Alligator mississippiensis: one gene and its partner. The protein of the gene in region 1 purifies or fractionates together with the protein of each later gene. This does not show direct contact. Links are inferred from orthologs where the notes say so. Each region holds a gene or a part of one and is shown on either strand. Other genes may lie near its edges.

Region 1 (7,989 bases):
AGACGTAGAAGGGAAAGCAACTCCTCAAGTACTGCAAGTTCTTCTGGCCACCGTACAAATTGTTCCTGAGTATGGAGAGTTTCCAAAAGACCTAATTAGCAACTCACTGCAAACATTTCTTTGCATTAGCTAATGATCCGGCTACACTTGTAAGCAAACAGTACCAACATATCTAATCAATGCAGAAAAACCAACAGAATGCCTATTAAACATCTGGATGTAATTTTCTAGTTAGACTTCGAACAAAATGAAAACATATGCAGGTTCTTTTGATGTATGCTTCAACAAAGAAATCGTTGATAAAAAAAGCGTACTGGCCAGTCAATGTGTCATTTTCATAAAACCTGGTCATTTCTCTTCAAATGTTCCCAATTTAATTTTGTTGGTTTCCTGCAATCTCTAATTTTACCATATTGTGTGAAACCGCAAGAGATTCTTTGGATCGGATTTTATTTGAGGTTTTACTGCTGCATGATCTGCTACTGATTTTTTTTTTCCTACTTTGACTTGGAGAATTTTTAAGGGTGAAAGGCTGGGAGAAGGTAGTATAAAGCGTATGGGAAAATGTCCTGCTGGAATTTTTCAAACATTCCTGCACAACAAAAATAAATCCTAATTTTAAAAGAAATCAAGTAATGAAAAATATTCACAACAGTCTACCCACATCATTATGTATAGATAAGGGTGAATCTTAAAACCAATTTTTTTTTGTGCATGTTGTCATCATAATTACGCCTCTCACAATGTAAATCTACTTTATTGCATTCATTCTATGGCTTAGGAGCTTTTTGGTCTCTGTGTTTGCCATCTTGCCATGCTGTATACTCATTTAAAAACATCTTTTAAATACACAACTCCTCTTTCTTCTTCCATTAAAATACAAAGAATTCTAAATCCAAAACTTTAAAAATGTAAAAATTTACTGAATTCAATAATTGCTCTAATTGCATATCTTTTATCACTCCATTATCCAGATCTCAGAAAGTGTTTTTTTTTCCTCCCTGTGATGTCTTGATAATTAACCTCATCAACATTTTATTACAGGGTTTTTGTCGCTTTGTAGGAAGTAAAAAACAAACAAAACTCATCCATGCAAACTGGTAGGAACCAATAATGTCAGCAGTAAATGAACTAGTGCACACGCATGCCCGCGCACACACTCACACACACACACACACACACACACACACACACACACACACACACACGGTAAATGGAGCACCATAGCATTCCTCCTTTTCCTAACAAAGCAAGCTGCTGCATCTGAAACCTGATAATACATTCAGACCATACTTTGGACCCAATTCTGTTTTGTTTGTCCATCAAAACTCCCACTGACTTCGATATTTAGTGTAGGATTAAGCTCTAAGTTGTCTGAGGTAAGAACATTACATTAGTATGCTCATGGGGAAAAACTATCAGACTTCAAATGGAAAGGTGGACATAATAATGAATCAGAAGGTATTGTGTAGTGGAAGTATTTTAATATGTAAGGCAGATTATGTTTACTATATATTTGTTTAAATCATAAGAAAAGGGTCAAACAGATATTTGTAATGCAGTGTGAGGGATATTATTGTGTATTTATTACAGGATGACATCCAGAAGGAAATATTAATTTAATGGGAAACAAACCCACTTCTAGGAAATCTGGTCCAGGTTCCACTTTTAGAAATACTGAGTCATGCCATGGACTCAGGTGGAGTTAACTTCAAAGAAACTACTCCAGATTTACACTGGTACAATCAAGAGCATATTTTGGGCCTCCATTATCAAACTATGATGAACTGTAAGAACTGTTAAACATGTAAAGAATTAGTCTACATTATTTTTAGATGTTTGTAGCTACTCCCTTAAATCAAAAAGCCTCCATATGCATGGTTCTACTCCTGCTTTTACAGCTCTTCCCTTCTGACTTTGATAGAAGAGATTCAAAATGCTTTCAAGTTTCCAGTCTCAGTAGGTTGAAAAGCATTTGTTAAATGAAACAAAGAAATGTTAAAGTGTGCCTTGAAAATTTTAAGCATGCTAAATATACAGTGCAAAACATTTCAGCTTTCGTGGAGGGAAGCAATTACAAAACTACTTCTGTTTATGCCCCGAAATAGACTGTTGTTTTAACATTGTATCTGTTTATATTTTACTAGCAACTTGTGCCATCAGGTTAAACATAGTAGAACCAAACTTGGGTAAACTGCCTGTATTGTTGTTTCAGGTTGCCTAGTTACCAGGTTCACAGACACCTTATATAATCAGAGTTTGCATTTTATGACACCTTTCATCTGAAGATCTAAGTGATTCATAAGAATTAATTAAGTTCTCAATACCTCTGTGAAGTAGGTAAATAGGATAATACCTATTTTATACATGTGTAGGCCAGTGCATGGAAAGGTGAACTGACTTGTCTAAGTAATGCAACACATTGCTGACAGAGTTGGGAAAAGAACGCGGGGAATCTTCACTCCAAGGCATGTGCCTAAATCAGTAAGGAAATTCACATTCTGGTGACTCAACCACTGCCTCCCAGAGAGAAGCAAACCTGTGTTGACTGCCCTTAAGAAATAGGTGGAAGAAGAGAATCCACTTTCTTACTTGGGTAACTGTATTCAGTTTCAGACCTCTGGGGCCGTGGAGAAATTCAAAATTCATCATGTGTTCTGTCAAATATTCATAGGCAAATGCGGAAGGCTTCCTCCTCCCCTGTCATTTTTACGTTGGCGATACTGGGAATAATAGAGCATAAATGTTCACACTCTGAACTACACCAAGTCAACATTTGCTTGTATTTAGGGACCTAACGATTTCATTCACATCAAGCTTTAAACATAATCTGTTCTTCTTTTAAAATATAGATTGAAGTCTGATAGGATTAGGGATCAATAAATGGCATACAAATTTAAAGGGAAGAATAAGAAAACATTTGCTACAAAATTGCTCTTTTTTAATGACTTCCTATAACACCTTTAGGTAAAACATAAGGCCTGAATAATAACACTTAACATTTTGAAAATGTGGAAAGCTACTTATGCTACATTATTCAACTCTGTTATGAATAAGATGGTTGGTAATAGAGGATATGTTTTGAAGTTTACTTCCCATTACAGGCTGTGTCACTATTTGGCATGGCCATAGTCACATACAGAGCATGTGGAATTTATTTGACCCTGCTCTACTTCAAATAGAACTATAAACTATTTATAGTAGTGGAAGTTTCTGGCTCCTCGGCTCCAGTGGAACCCTCTTGTAAAGAAGTCAATTTTTCCCAAAGGACAACTTCAGTCCTTTCTGAGGGTCACTACCGCTGCGGTTTGTGCATTGCAACGCATTAAATCAAGCTGGCACTTTTCATCCTTTGTAATGATAGTTTCCCTATTCTGAGTACATTATCAGCAGGTGCACTTATATCTGCATGGAACCCATAAATAAAATATGGAGAGGGGCCACATATGCCTGCTTGCATTAGATGTCAACTCTTTGGGATGAAAACAAAAAACAGCGCAGGCCAACTCACGATCAGATCCTTGTCCTCTGAGGCCGTGTCTACACAAGTGAGGACGTTTGATTCCCCAGGGACAAGAAGCAGCCGCACACCTTGTGTGGTTGCTACTTGCCCCCAGGGAACGCCCGTGCTAGATGCCCTCTGGCAGGTTACCCTGGGTGGGGTACAGGAAGCTGGGATCAGCAACTTTGCTGGCTCCAGCAGCCTTACCTGGGGTCCTGGGAAGCTGCAGCCATGGCAGCCCTGCAGCTGGGAACCTGGTAGCCAGAGGGTGGCTCCGGCCTGCCAGGCTCCAGTTTTTGGGTGGCATGCATTGCCACCACATGCACCACGCTGCTTTTTTTCCCCGCACAGATTTTTTTGACCCTGGGATTTCACCAGATCAAAACCTCCCCCCTGCCCACACACTGTAATGTAGCAGCACGGGTAACACCTGAATGTGCCATATATGGCGCCGCAGACCCCCACACCCCATGACCGTGCTCATCTGGATGCAGCCGGGGGGATGTAATTACTTGCAATGAGTATAAATGAGAGCAGAACGGGGCTGATTTTTGTGTGTGCGTGTGCACCATTTGGGAATTGCCTCTGATGGGCTCTAATGGCGATAAGGAAAAGCAAGTGGGATTTCAAGTCAAATTGCACGTGTGTAGACAGGGTACGAACATAGCAGTGTCCTTCTCCACCCACCCTGCTGTGCCACGCTCCTCGGGCCCCTGCTACCTTGTGTATATCACACAACCAACTGGGGAAGAGCGTGTCATAAATGCAGCTGGGCCCGCAGGGTTAAAAATGACCAGCCAGCTGTAGAAAGAGCCAGCGGGCATCAAGTCAGGGCTGGGAACCCTGTTGCAGCTTGACTTAATTAATTATTTTTAAATAAATTTTTATTTCTATCTTATTTTATAAATAAATAAATAAATAATTTTATTTTATAATATATTTTATTAATACATTTTTAAATTAATTTTTTTTTAAATTTGATTCATTTTTTCTTTATTATGATTATTTGAAGGTGGGGCCGGGCCAGCCGCCCCTGTGAAGGGCTCTCTCCTGCTTCCCAGCTCTGCTCCGCGCCTGGACAGCCAGGTCTGAGCAGAGGTACCCGAAGCAGGGCTGACCCGGAGCCTGGGACACGGCTCATCCCCCGCCCCCCCCGCCGCGAGAGAGCGGCACAAAGCGGCGCCCAGCGCGCTGCTCCCGCCCCCCCTCCCGGCGCCCCCACGTTACTTTGATTGACAGCTCAGCCTCTCCACCGACCTTCCCCTTCTCCCTGCCTCTCGGAGAGTTCCACTGTCTCCTATTGGTCGGCCCGGAGGGGTCCGGGCCGGCCCCGCCACAAACGCTTTCTTGGTGGAGGCCGGGCGAGCCGGAGCGAGCTCTGGCGCCGCGTTCGATTGGGCGTGACGTCAGAGCCCCACGTTGGCCCCCGAGGAGGCGATTGGTGGCGGGCGCGGCCCCGCCCCCCCGCTCCTCCCGGGCGCCGAGCTGAGTGCGAAACCGCGTGTTAATGCACCGAGCGCGGCCGAGCGAGCGAGCGGGAGAGACGGGGAGCGCGGGTTCGGCCAGGGCCAGGCGAGGGGAGCCGCGCTCGGCGCCCGGGGGGACTTGCGCGGCGGGGACGATGCCGCCCGCGGGGTTGTGCTGAGCGGCGCCCCGCTGCTGCCGCGTGGCCGAGGAGCGCCCGCGGGACCCGCTCCCTTGCTGCCCGCCGAGACTTGGCCCGTCCCGCGGAGCAGGCGCCTGCCCGCTCCGCCCGCCCGGGGCCCCGCTGCCCCGGCGGCGGCGACAGCAACAAAGGCGGAGGAGGAGGAGGAGGAGGAGGAGGATGCCCTTGGCGCGGGGGCGCTGAGCGGCGCTGCGGGCGGCGGCTGGGGCTACCTCGCCGAGGACTGAGCTGCGGGCGAGCGCGGCTGCGGCCAGAGCCATGTTTCCCCAGAGCCGGCATCCTGTGAGTAGCACGTGCCCCGGGCGGGGGGGTCCCCTCATCTCCTGCCCCTTTTGGACTGGGGTCTTGCTCCCCCTCTCCTAGCCCGGGCCCGGGGGGGCGGGGGTTGAGTTCCCACCACTCCGCTCCCTTCCCTTCCCTCCCCCCCCAGCCCAGAACCCCTGGCTGTGCCGGGCTTCCTGTCCCCCCCTCTTCCCCTCCCTTTTGTTTCATGTCTAACTTATTTGCATGCAAATGACAGGGGAGGGGAGGGGCTGCCCTGCCCTTGGCTGCCAGGTTGGCTCCTTCTCCCTCTCCACTCTGCTGCAGCCAAACTCAGCCGGGGCTGGGGAGTTGTCTCCCCCCCTGGCCTCACGTGTAACTGTGGGGAGGAGCTGGCCCCTTGCCCTGCCTGGCATGGTGGTGACAATTGTAAGGGGGAGGGGCTGGGGGAGTTGTGGGCATAGGGCAGGGGCCACCTGGTTTGGAAAGGAGGGGGAACGAGTAACAAGTGCGAGGGGAGGGAAGCAATGGAGCTTGGCAGGCTGCTCCCTCCCAGTGCCCGTCCCACTAGCTTTCCTGGTGGGATGCTGCAGAAGGGACCCTAGTTGACAGGATGCTTCAGGGAGCTGGGCTGTGGTCCCTAGCGTGCCCTGCCTGCTTTTGTTTCAAGGTTTTCTTTTTTTTTCTCTCTCTTCTCTGCCTCAGACGCCGCACCAGGCTGCAGGTCAGCCCTTCAAATTCACTATCCCGGAATCCCTGGATCGGATCAAAGAGGAGTTTCAGTTCCTCCAAGCGCAGTATCACAGGTGAGTCCTGCCTGCCGGCTTCTTGCCTGCTCTCTCTGCATCAGAGAATTGGGCCACATCCTGCCTCGAGGAGGATTTCAGGCTGGTACGCAGTGTGCTGGCTAGCAGGGTGTGTTTCTTTCTCTCTTGCTCTGTGCTCACTGGGGGAAAAGCAACTGCCGTTTGTATTTGTCACCAGATGGTGGCGTGCGGAGTCACAGATAAAGCCCTGTCATTCGCTCCTCTCTCTACTTGCCATTGTTTTCACTGTTTTTGCTGCTGTTAGATTTGTAGAGAAGCAGGGCCAGAAGGGACCTGCAGAGTTTGTGGTCCAACCCCCCTGCCTGAGGCAGGATCATCCTTATCCAAATCATCCCATGCAACAATGTCCGGTTGAACTTTTATTCGTGTGCGTTCAAAGCTTCCTGAGAGCTGTCAATATTTGTGTTTTCTTTTGCTGATGGGCTAGGCTGAGAACAAGCAGGTCAGTGGATACTCTTGCCCCATCCTTGCACTACTGAGTTACTGTTGAAGTAAGAACTTCAAGTTCAATAAGATGTCAGGTATCCGGGTTGTAGCCTTATTGGTCTAGAGGCAAAAGGAATCGGGACTCATGGTAGAGGTGATCTCTTATTAGACCAACTAGATTTTTGCAAAAAAAAATTTCTTTAATTGCTCAGTTAATTTAAAAGTTCAGTAAGAGGCAGTGTAGACTAAGGATGTGGGCTGGGAGTTGGGGCTAGCTTTACTATGCAGTGCGACCATCTGTAAAATGGGGAGACTGTTTGACTTAGCGTGGTCGTGTGAAACTTAACTCACCTTTGTAAAAGTGTGTTAGAATTCTTGAGTGCAAAACCTTGGTAAGGGCAAAGTAAATTGAGAGAATATCCAGTCTAACTTGGTAGCAGGAAATATTAAAGGAGCTAATTCTCATGGTAGTTTGTCCTCTATGGTGTGCATTTTTAATGAAAAGATCAAGGAAATGCCAGTAATTGGTATGTAAACAGGGGATGAAGATTATTTTATTTTTTTCTTTTTTAAGAAAGCAAACTCATCAGAATACCACTGAAAAGATGACTTAAATCTACTGAAGCAGTCATTAATGGCTGCTCTCCCAGCCTTGAAGCATGCTGTTCTTAGTTTGTATACTTTGTGCCAAGGTCTCTGTGTGTATATTGAGGATCTGCTTCCTCTCTCTGCATGCACAGCACTTCTGGCATTAACAGAGACTGTGTTCTTTGGCATGCAGCTTTATCTTGTTATAGTGTAGAGATGATCTATATAGGGTTCTGCATACAAATTCTCTTATTTCTTGAAGACTTTGGTTAGATATTTTGTCTTGCGTGATCTTGTGGTCTCTGGGCCTTATCTGTAGATGAGCACTGGCTTATCAAAAAGCCCTTAATTAAAATTGTGCAATTCTTAATGTAAACTACATGTGTATGAATAAAAAGTTGAGCATGCACATTCACCACTTGTTAAAGGTTGTTTTCTCGCTGATATATATTATTTTAAGTTGACCGTTAGTCCCTATCTTGAAGCAAATAATATTTTGATTTTAACAAAGGCATTGGAATTGGTTATGTGAAACTAGTTTTTATTTTTATTCTAAGTTTTTTAAAGTCGAACTGACTTTTAAGTAATGCTTAAAGCCAAAAATAGTCATGTTTGACCCAGCTAAACAGTCAGATCACTCGAAATAAAGGCTTAGAACCAGAACCTAAACAAGTTTATAGAAGTAGCTGTGTCAGTAATTCTTACTTGTTTTACTTCCT
Region 2 (7,008 bases), on another chromosome or scaffold:
CTGCTTGTTCAGCCATGATGATTTACGAGCTTTTGCAGTTTGCCGACATGCCAGCGTCTCCTTTCTGCTGGATCTTCTTGTCAGGAGTGGATCGATGGCTAAGCAGCAGAGCCAAGGATATGTCCCGTGCCTGGGACCCAGAAGGCAGCAGACCCCAAAGGGTACAGCGTGAGGTTGCATAGCAGCTGTTTTGTCTTGGCCTGTGTTTTAGACAGGCAAAGTGTGACAAACACACTTTTTGTAGGGCCCTCTCTCTCAGACACCGCGGTGCACCATAGCTTTAGCAGTATTTTGGCGGCAGGCTCCATTGCCCTGCAAGGTTCAGCGCGTGATGACAGCTTTGAGCTGTGAAAGTGACAGCTGCCGTCCAGTTCTTGTCACCGAGGGCAGTGACGAGGCCTGGGAGAGGTCGGGAGGGCAGCGTGCACGCAGCAACAGGTGGCACAAGGAACCGCCAGATTTGGGACTGTCCCTGCCCAGGGGCTGCCTGCCTGCGCTGGCTATGCCCGCCTGCAACACGGGTGACCGACCATATGCCCCTAGTCAGAGGCTGCTGGGTCGGGAGTCCTGGGGTGTGTACAACCCAAGGCTCAGCCTGTCAGAAGCCAAGTGCACACCTTGCTCACCCCGGGTCCAGTGGAGCGGGGTGCCAGGTGAGGACGGGTGGGACCATCCTGCAGAAGCACTCACATGGTTTCGGGGCCATTTAACACCCCATGCAGCTGCTGCAGCCAGGGCTGGGATCTCCATCTCATTGCCCAGAGAGGGGCTTGTGCCCACCCGGCAAGCTGTAGGGGGGTCATGCTCACAACAGTCCCTCCATGGGGCGCCCCTGAGCGGGGAATGGCAAAGCAGGAGCTGGCAGCACCAGGCCAGGAGCTCCAAACCATCCAAGCCAGTGCCATGTGCGCAGGCTGAAGCACAACGAATGCAGCGCTCAGGGCCAAGCCCTGGGAGCAGGGCCCAACTCTCCATGGGCCACCAGCCGCCCGGGCCCTAGCGCCAAAGCAGCAGTCGTGCCATCTGCAAGTGCTGCCTGCCGGCTGCAGCAGCCAAGAAACAGAGGACGAAACAGCAAGAAACAGAAACGGGGCCAGGCCAGGAGCGCTGACTCCAAGGGGCAAACCCCTCGGATACCCCAGCCTGCAGGGACACGTGGGGCATGCAGTGAGGGGTTTGCACCCGCGTGGACATCCCCAGCCAGCAGAGATGAGGCCCTACATGTAGGCAGTGCTGTGTCTCCTGCTGGAAAGGTCCTGAAGATTGCAGTGATGACCCAAGTCACCAGAACAGGAGCAGCCCAGGCCACACCAGACCAGACCTGCCTCGATGAGCGCTGGGAGCAGGCAGTGACACCCTCTGCAAGAGGCGCCCTTCCAACTTCAGCATCGCTCCAGCCCTGAATCACAGACGAGGGCTGAAGGGAGCTCAGGAGGCCACATCCAGTCCAACCCCCTGCTCTGAGCAGGACCAGCCCCAACTACATCATCCCAGCCAAGGCTTTGTCAAGCCAGGTCTTCAAAACCTCCAAAGATGCAGATTCCCCAACCTCTCTGGGGAGCCTGCTCCAGCGCTTCTCCACCCTCCTAGGGAGAAAGTTTTTCCTAATATCCAACCTCAACTTCCCTTGCTGCAGCTTGAGCCCATTGCTCCTTGTCCTGTCATCTGCACCACTGAGACCAGTCCAGCTCCATCCTCTTTGCAGCCCCCCTGCAGGGAGGTGACGGCTGCTATTCAATCCCCCTCGGTCTTCTCTTCTGCAGACTCAATCAGCCCATTTCCCTCAGCCTCTCCTCACCAGTCCTGACCCCCAGCCTACAACCATTTTCCTTGCCCTCCGCTGGACTTTCTACGTGTCTACATCCTTTCTGCAGTGGGGACCCACAGCTGGACACAGGACTCCAGATGTGGCCTCCCCAGTGCTAAACCCTGTGTCCAGCTTTGGGAATCCCACACCCGGCGTCACCACTGCCCTCGGAGCAAGCCCCCCCGGGGCAGGCCTTCCAGGGGCATGGATCTGTGCATCAGAAAGGCTGCTTTTTTTCTCCCACCACCTGTTGGGAAATGCAAGCCTTAGGTCTGGCCTGCAGCAAGGCCTGGGGGCTCAGTCCTTCCTGGTTTTCAACATGGGGGCAGTGGCCAGCGAAGGAAGGGGGGATGCTCCCAGAGCTGCAAAGCAGCTGTGCTCTGCATGTCCCTCCTGCACGACCGCCCGCTGAAGGGCTCTTTCCTCCACCACTGTCAAATCATCCCGTGCGCAGACTGGCGGGGCTCGTCTCCACCCCAGGGTTGTTTTAAATATTCCTGCTAAGGCCTCCAGTCTGTCATCAATTATACGGGCCTTCCCCACCAGGGCTAGGCGGAAAAGGATCGCTAGCTGCCACTTCCCTGATTCAGCCTCTTGATCTCTTCTTTACTAAAGTGTGTCCAAGCCTCTCACTGGCTGCAGCATGTGCCAAGTCCTGCTCATCTGGACCCAGACACGCTGAAGGCTGCTATTTGCGTTTAAGTCCAAAGTCATGTTGCTGAATCAAAGGAAACCCAGATTTGTTCCTTTCTGTAGTTTAACACATGCCTCCCTCCCTCTTTTCTTTTCTCCTTTTCTTTTTTTTCCTTTGTAGCGGGGCTGGCTGTGTACACAAGTGTCCGCAGGGATGAGAGCTTTTGCATTGGTGAGATCTGCAAACATGTCTCCTCTTTCCTGGACTTTATTTTTCTCACGGTCTCTGAAAAGGCAAGATCAGGTGATATGTGTGGGATTGGCTCTGCACAGGTGCAGATCAGGTACTGGAGGAGGAGGAGGAGGAGGAGGAGGAGGAAAAACATTGCTGTGTGTACTCAAAAAGCAAAAGAAAAAGAAAAAAAAAAGGCTCTGAATAGGCCAAGGCTAGTTCTTGGCAGGGTGACTCAGGCTTAACTGGCAGACGATGGGAATAGGAGTGTGAGAAAGTCAGTCAAGCAGAGGGGGGGGGAAAAAAGGCTCAAGTCCTCAGGCAAAATATTTTTTGAAGCTAACCCCACAAAACCTCCCAGCTAAGGCTGGAAGCCACGAAGGGGAAGCAGCCCCGTCCCCGCCGAGGGCGGACGCTTCCCGGAGCGTGCCCGAGCACCGGCTTCTTGGCTGGTTATAAAGTAAACACTGAAGCATGCGAAGCAGCAAAGCGTTTGCTGATGAGAGCAAACGGAGAGGAGCCGCTGGCCTCGGTCACCGCCGCGGGTGCCAGGAATCCACCGCCGGAGGATCCGCTGCTTCCTCTCCAGATGAACCAGCCCAGCTGGGCCCGATCCTGCCCACCTCCATGCTGGTGCAGGCCTTGGAGCCGGTGGCGTGACACCAGGTGACTGTCGGGACAATCCAGCCCCCGACCCGAGCGGTGCAGGGGACCCTGGCTGGAGATATGTGGGCACAAGCAGCACCCTGGCAGAGGGGCAGGGGAGGGGGCACCTCTGCAACCCTCTTCCCCACACAGCCCAGCATCAGGGTGACCTTTAAGGCTGCCAGGACCCAACTCCCCTGCCATTCATGACCAGGTTTTTTTTTTTGGTGCCTGTCACTCCACGTCGACAAAAGCTGCATTGTTCCTTCCAGCCGGAAAACATGACCGGGCTCGGCCTGCTTGCAGCGTGTGAAGATGTTTCCCGCAGACCAGCCCCGGGGCAGGGGCCAGCAACCTCCATCCTCATTTCGTCGGCGCTCGCTTCTCCAAGCCACATGAGCCTCAAAAGGGTAAACAGCCCAGTGCAAACAACGGCACGATCCTGTCCTGACAGATGAGTTAATTACCTGCAAAATAAGAATTTTCCGACCAGTCTCTCGGCCTCCTCTCACGGCAAGGAGCAGTCATCTCTGCCCATGCTGAAGCGGTTGATGGTGCTGTCCTGGCCCTGCTTTCGTCCCATCGCCGCGGGACGATGGCCCTGCTTGCAAGCAACAGGCTGTGCTCTCCCAGGGGGGAAAGGCCTGTTGGGTTAGGAAGCCTTGGAAGGGCCTGAGCCAGTTGCCCTGCACCCCCAGGTACTTCGGGGGGGATGAGCAGCACCCAGCACCTTGACAGACCAGACCCCAAATGCTGCGGCCCTCCAGAATAGACGCGGTAGCCATAAGGGGAGAGTCCGAGGCGAGCGGGGCTCAAGCAGTGTTGCTCGAGCTGTTTAGGCTGGGGGACCCCTCGCTCGGCTGCAGCAGAGCGCCAGCTCCTAGTGCGCGCTCCACGTCGGACCGAGTCCCCGAGCGATCGGAAAGCCCCGGGCACCTGGCCACACGCTGGATCCCGCGGAAACCTGGGCAGTCGTGTTCGCACACCTCGCCCTGCCCGCCACCTTGTCACCGACACGTAGAGAAGCGGGGCTGGAGGGGAGCTCCAGAGGTCACATCCAGTCCGGCCCCCGGCTCGAGGCAGGACCAGCCCCGTGCAAACCAGCCCAGACAAACCATCTGTCAACACAGACCTGCTCCCACCAAACCTCCTCCACGACCACCCCAGGCCCCAGGCCGAGGCTGTGTCCCTGCTGCAGAGGAAAGCAAGCCCCTCCCCAGTCCGGACCAGTGTCACCAGGGGGTACAAACCCTTCCTGACCCCAAATACAGCACCAGGCTGACCCTGAGCGCGGCGGCAAGACCCCCAGCCAGGACCAGCGGAGCCCTGCCCCGGCCCTGCCCCCCGACACATGGAGCAGCAAGGCCCGGGAGCGGGGACACCCCCACCCCGTGTCCGTGCACGCCGGGACCCTGCAGCCCAGCTCCAGCCTGGCCCCGCGGCCGGCGCGCGGGGGAGTGGTTTTCCCAGGCTCGGGCGGCAGCTGCTCCCGCCGCCCGCGGAGCCTCCTCCCGGCACGTGCCCCGGCCCCGCCGCCGCCCCGCTAATGACCCCCCGCCGGCCCCGGGGGGGCCGGCGCGGCAAGGGTTAACCCCGGCCTCGCACGGACGCGCCGGCCCGCGGGGCCCCGAGCCCATTGGGCGGCGGGCAGCCAATGGGGGGGCGCCGCTCGCGTGCCCCCCGCGCCCATTGGCGGAAAGTGACTGTGGGAAAGAAAGTTTGGGAAGTTTCACACGAGCCGCGCGCGTGCGGCCGCGATATAAGACCCGCGCGCGGCTGCGCCCGCCGCACTCCGCCCGCCCGCCCGCACCCTGCCCCGCACCATGCCCGCGGACCTCGCCGGCAAGAGCTCCGCGTCGCCCGTGGCCGCCGCCCCCGCCAGCGGCAGCGCCACGCCGGACAAGCCCAAGACGGCGGCGGAGCAGCGCAAGGTAAGTGCGGCTGCCCCTGCCCCTGCCCCTGCCCCACCTCCTGCCCCGGCGCCGGCGCCGGCCCCTGCCCCTCATGCCGCCCGGCTCTTGCAGTCGTCCAAGCCCATCATGGAGAAGCGGCGCCGGGCGCGCATCAACGAGAGCCTGGGCCAGCTGAAGGCGCTGATCCTGGACGCGCTGAAGAAAGACGTGAGTGCCCCCCCCCGCCCCCTCCCCGCCGCCCGCGGCCCCCGGCCCGGCCCCGCGCTCACGGCTGCCACCCCGCAGAGCTCGCGGCACTCCAAGCTGGAGAAGGCGGACATCCTGGAGATGACTGTGAAGCACCTCCGGAGCCTGCAGCGGGCGCAGATGACCGGTGAGCGGGTCCCGCAGCCCGGGGGGGAGCGGGGTGGCGGCGGGAGACCCTTTTCTAACTGCCCCCTGCTCCTAGCCGCGCTGCACACGGACCCCGCGGTGCTGGGCAAGTACCGCGCCGGCTTCGGCGAGTGCATGAGCGAGGTGACCCGCTTCCTCTCCACCTGCGAGGGGGTCAGCAGCGAGGTGCGCACGCGGCTGCTGGGCCACCTGGCCAACTGCATGACCCAGATCCACGCCGTGAACTACCCCCCGCCGCCACCACCGCCGCCTCCCCCGCTGCCCGCCGCCTTCGGCCAGCCGCTGGCGCAGCTCCCCGGCGGCGCGGCGCCCCTGGGCGGCATGCCCTGCAAGCTGGGCAGCGCCGCGGGGGAGCCCGCCAAGGTCTACGGCGGCTTCCAGCTGGTGCCGGCGCCCGACGGCCACTTCGCCTTCCTCATCCCCAGCACGGCCTTCGCGCCTAGCGGTGCCCTCGTCCCCCTCTACGCCAGCGGCCCCGGAGCGCCACCGCCGCCGCGGCCGCCCTCCACGGCGCCCCCCGGCCCGGCAGACTCGGTGTGGAGGCCCTGGTGAGCCTCGCTGCCGGCACCGGGGCTCGGACTGAGACTGGGACTGAGACTGCTCCAGGAGGGGCACGCGTGGGGCCGCCTCTGTGCATAGCGCCCTGTTCCCGTGGGATTGTGCCTTGGCCAAGCTAGAGCGGAGCCCGGCGTCTCGCCTGCTCTTTTGTTTTGTTCTTTTTTTTGAATGTGACACCAAAGATCTGTTTTTTCTTTCTGATGCTCTTTGACAAATAAACGCCCGCCTTCCTCTGTGGAGGGAGCGGGGAAAGACGGAGACCGGTGCCTGCTGCTGCGTGTGCCCCGGCTCCTGCAGGGCTGGGGCTGGCCCGCCTGGAAGATGCAGTCCCTGCTGCGGTAGCAGCGTTTTGCTCAGACCCACGGACCAGGAGCTCCTCTTTTTCGAAAGCGCGGACAGCATCCTCACCCAAAGTCCCAGCCCCATCCCTGGGGAGAAGCAGTGGGAGCCACTGCAGCTGTGGAAAGGACAAACCTGCCTCCCCCGGGCTGCGGCATGACCCCGAGCGGTGCCACCACGGTCACCGCACCCAGAACCATAACCTTGCTGCGTGGCCAGCCAAACCTGCGCCGCTGACTGCCAGGCGTGGGCCTCTGAGCCACCTCACCCAAGGAGCCCCGAGGGTCAGAGTCCCGCCTGATAAGGAGCCTGAGGCCAGCCGGGATGATTAACACCGGGCACGTGTTTCTGATAAGGCAGCGTTTCCCCAGCCCCGGTGCAGAAAGCACGTGGTGTGGGAGGAACAGCGGTGCTGTGCTGTGCCCATGACCCTCCGATCCATGCCCCGGCAGGCAGTGACCCCTTTGACTTGGTCATGCCCCATTTCC

The links. Proteins that work in one complex are often made in the same cells at the same time.
Region 2: the proteins of TLE1 (region 1) and HES1 purify together in Homo sapiens (affinity purification with western blotting; 4 studies listed by BioGRID and IntAct, with this or other methods). This does not show direct contact. The link is inferred for Alligator mississippiensis from reciprocal best matches to the Homo sapiens genes TLE1 and HES1.

What each region holds. Positions count from the first base shown.
Region 1 is NC_081826.1:201,770,900-201,778,888, reverse strand, and holds the start of TLE1 (transducin-like enhancer protein 1), read left to right. Parts: upstream 1-4,987; 5' UTR 4,988-5,426; coding exon 5,427-5,450; intron 5,451-5,770; exon of another isoform or gene 5,771-5,843; coding exon of another isoform or gene 5,844-5,858; intron 5,859-6,134; coding exon 6,135-6,235; intron 6,236-7,989. UniProt on the Homo sapiens protein: Transcriptional corepressor that binds to a number of transcription factors. Inhibits NF-kappa-B-regulated gene expression. Inhibits the transcriptional activation mediated by FOXA2, and by CTNNB1 and TCF family members in Wnt signaling.
Region 2 is NC_081830.1:88,907,781-88,914,788, forward strand, and holds HES1 (transcription factor HES-1), read left to right. Parts: upstream 1-4,944; 5' UTR 4,945-5,140; coding exon 5,141-5,437; intron 5,438-5,515; coding exon 5,516-5,603; intron 5,604-5,678; coding exon 5,679-6,175; 3' UTR 6,176-6,439; downstream 6,440-7,008. UniProt on the Homo sapiens protein: Transcriptional repressor of genes that require a bHLH protein for their transcription. May act as a negative regulator of myogenesis by inhibiting the functions of MYOD1 and ASH1.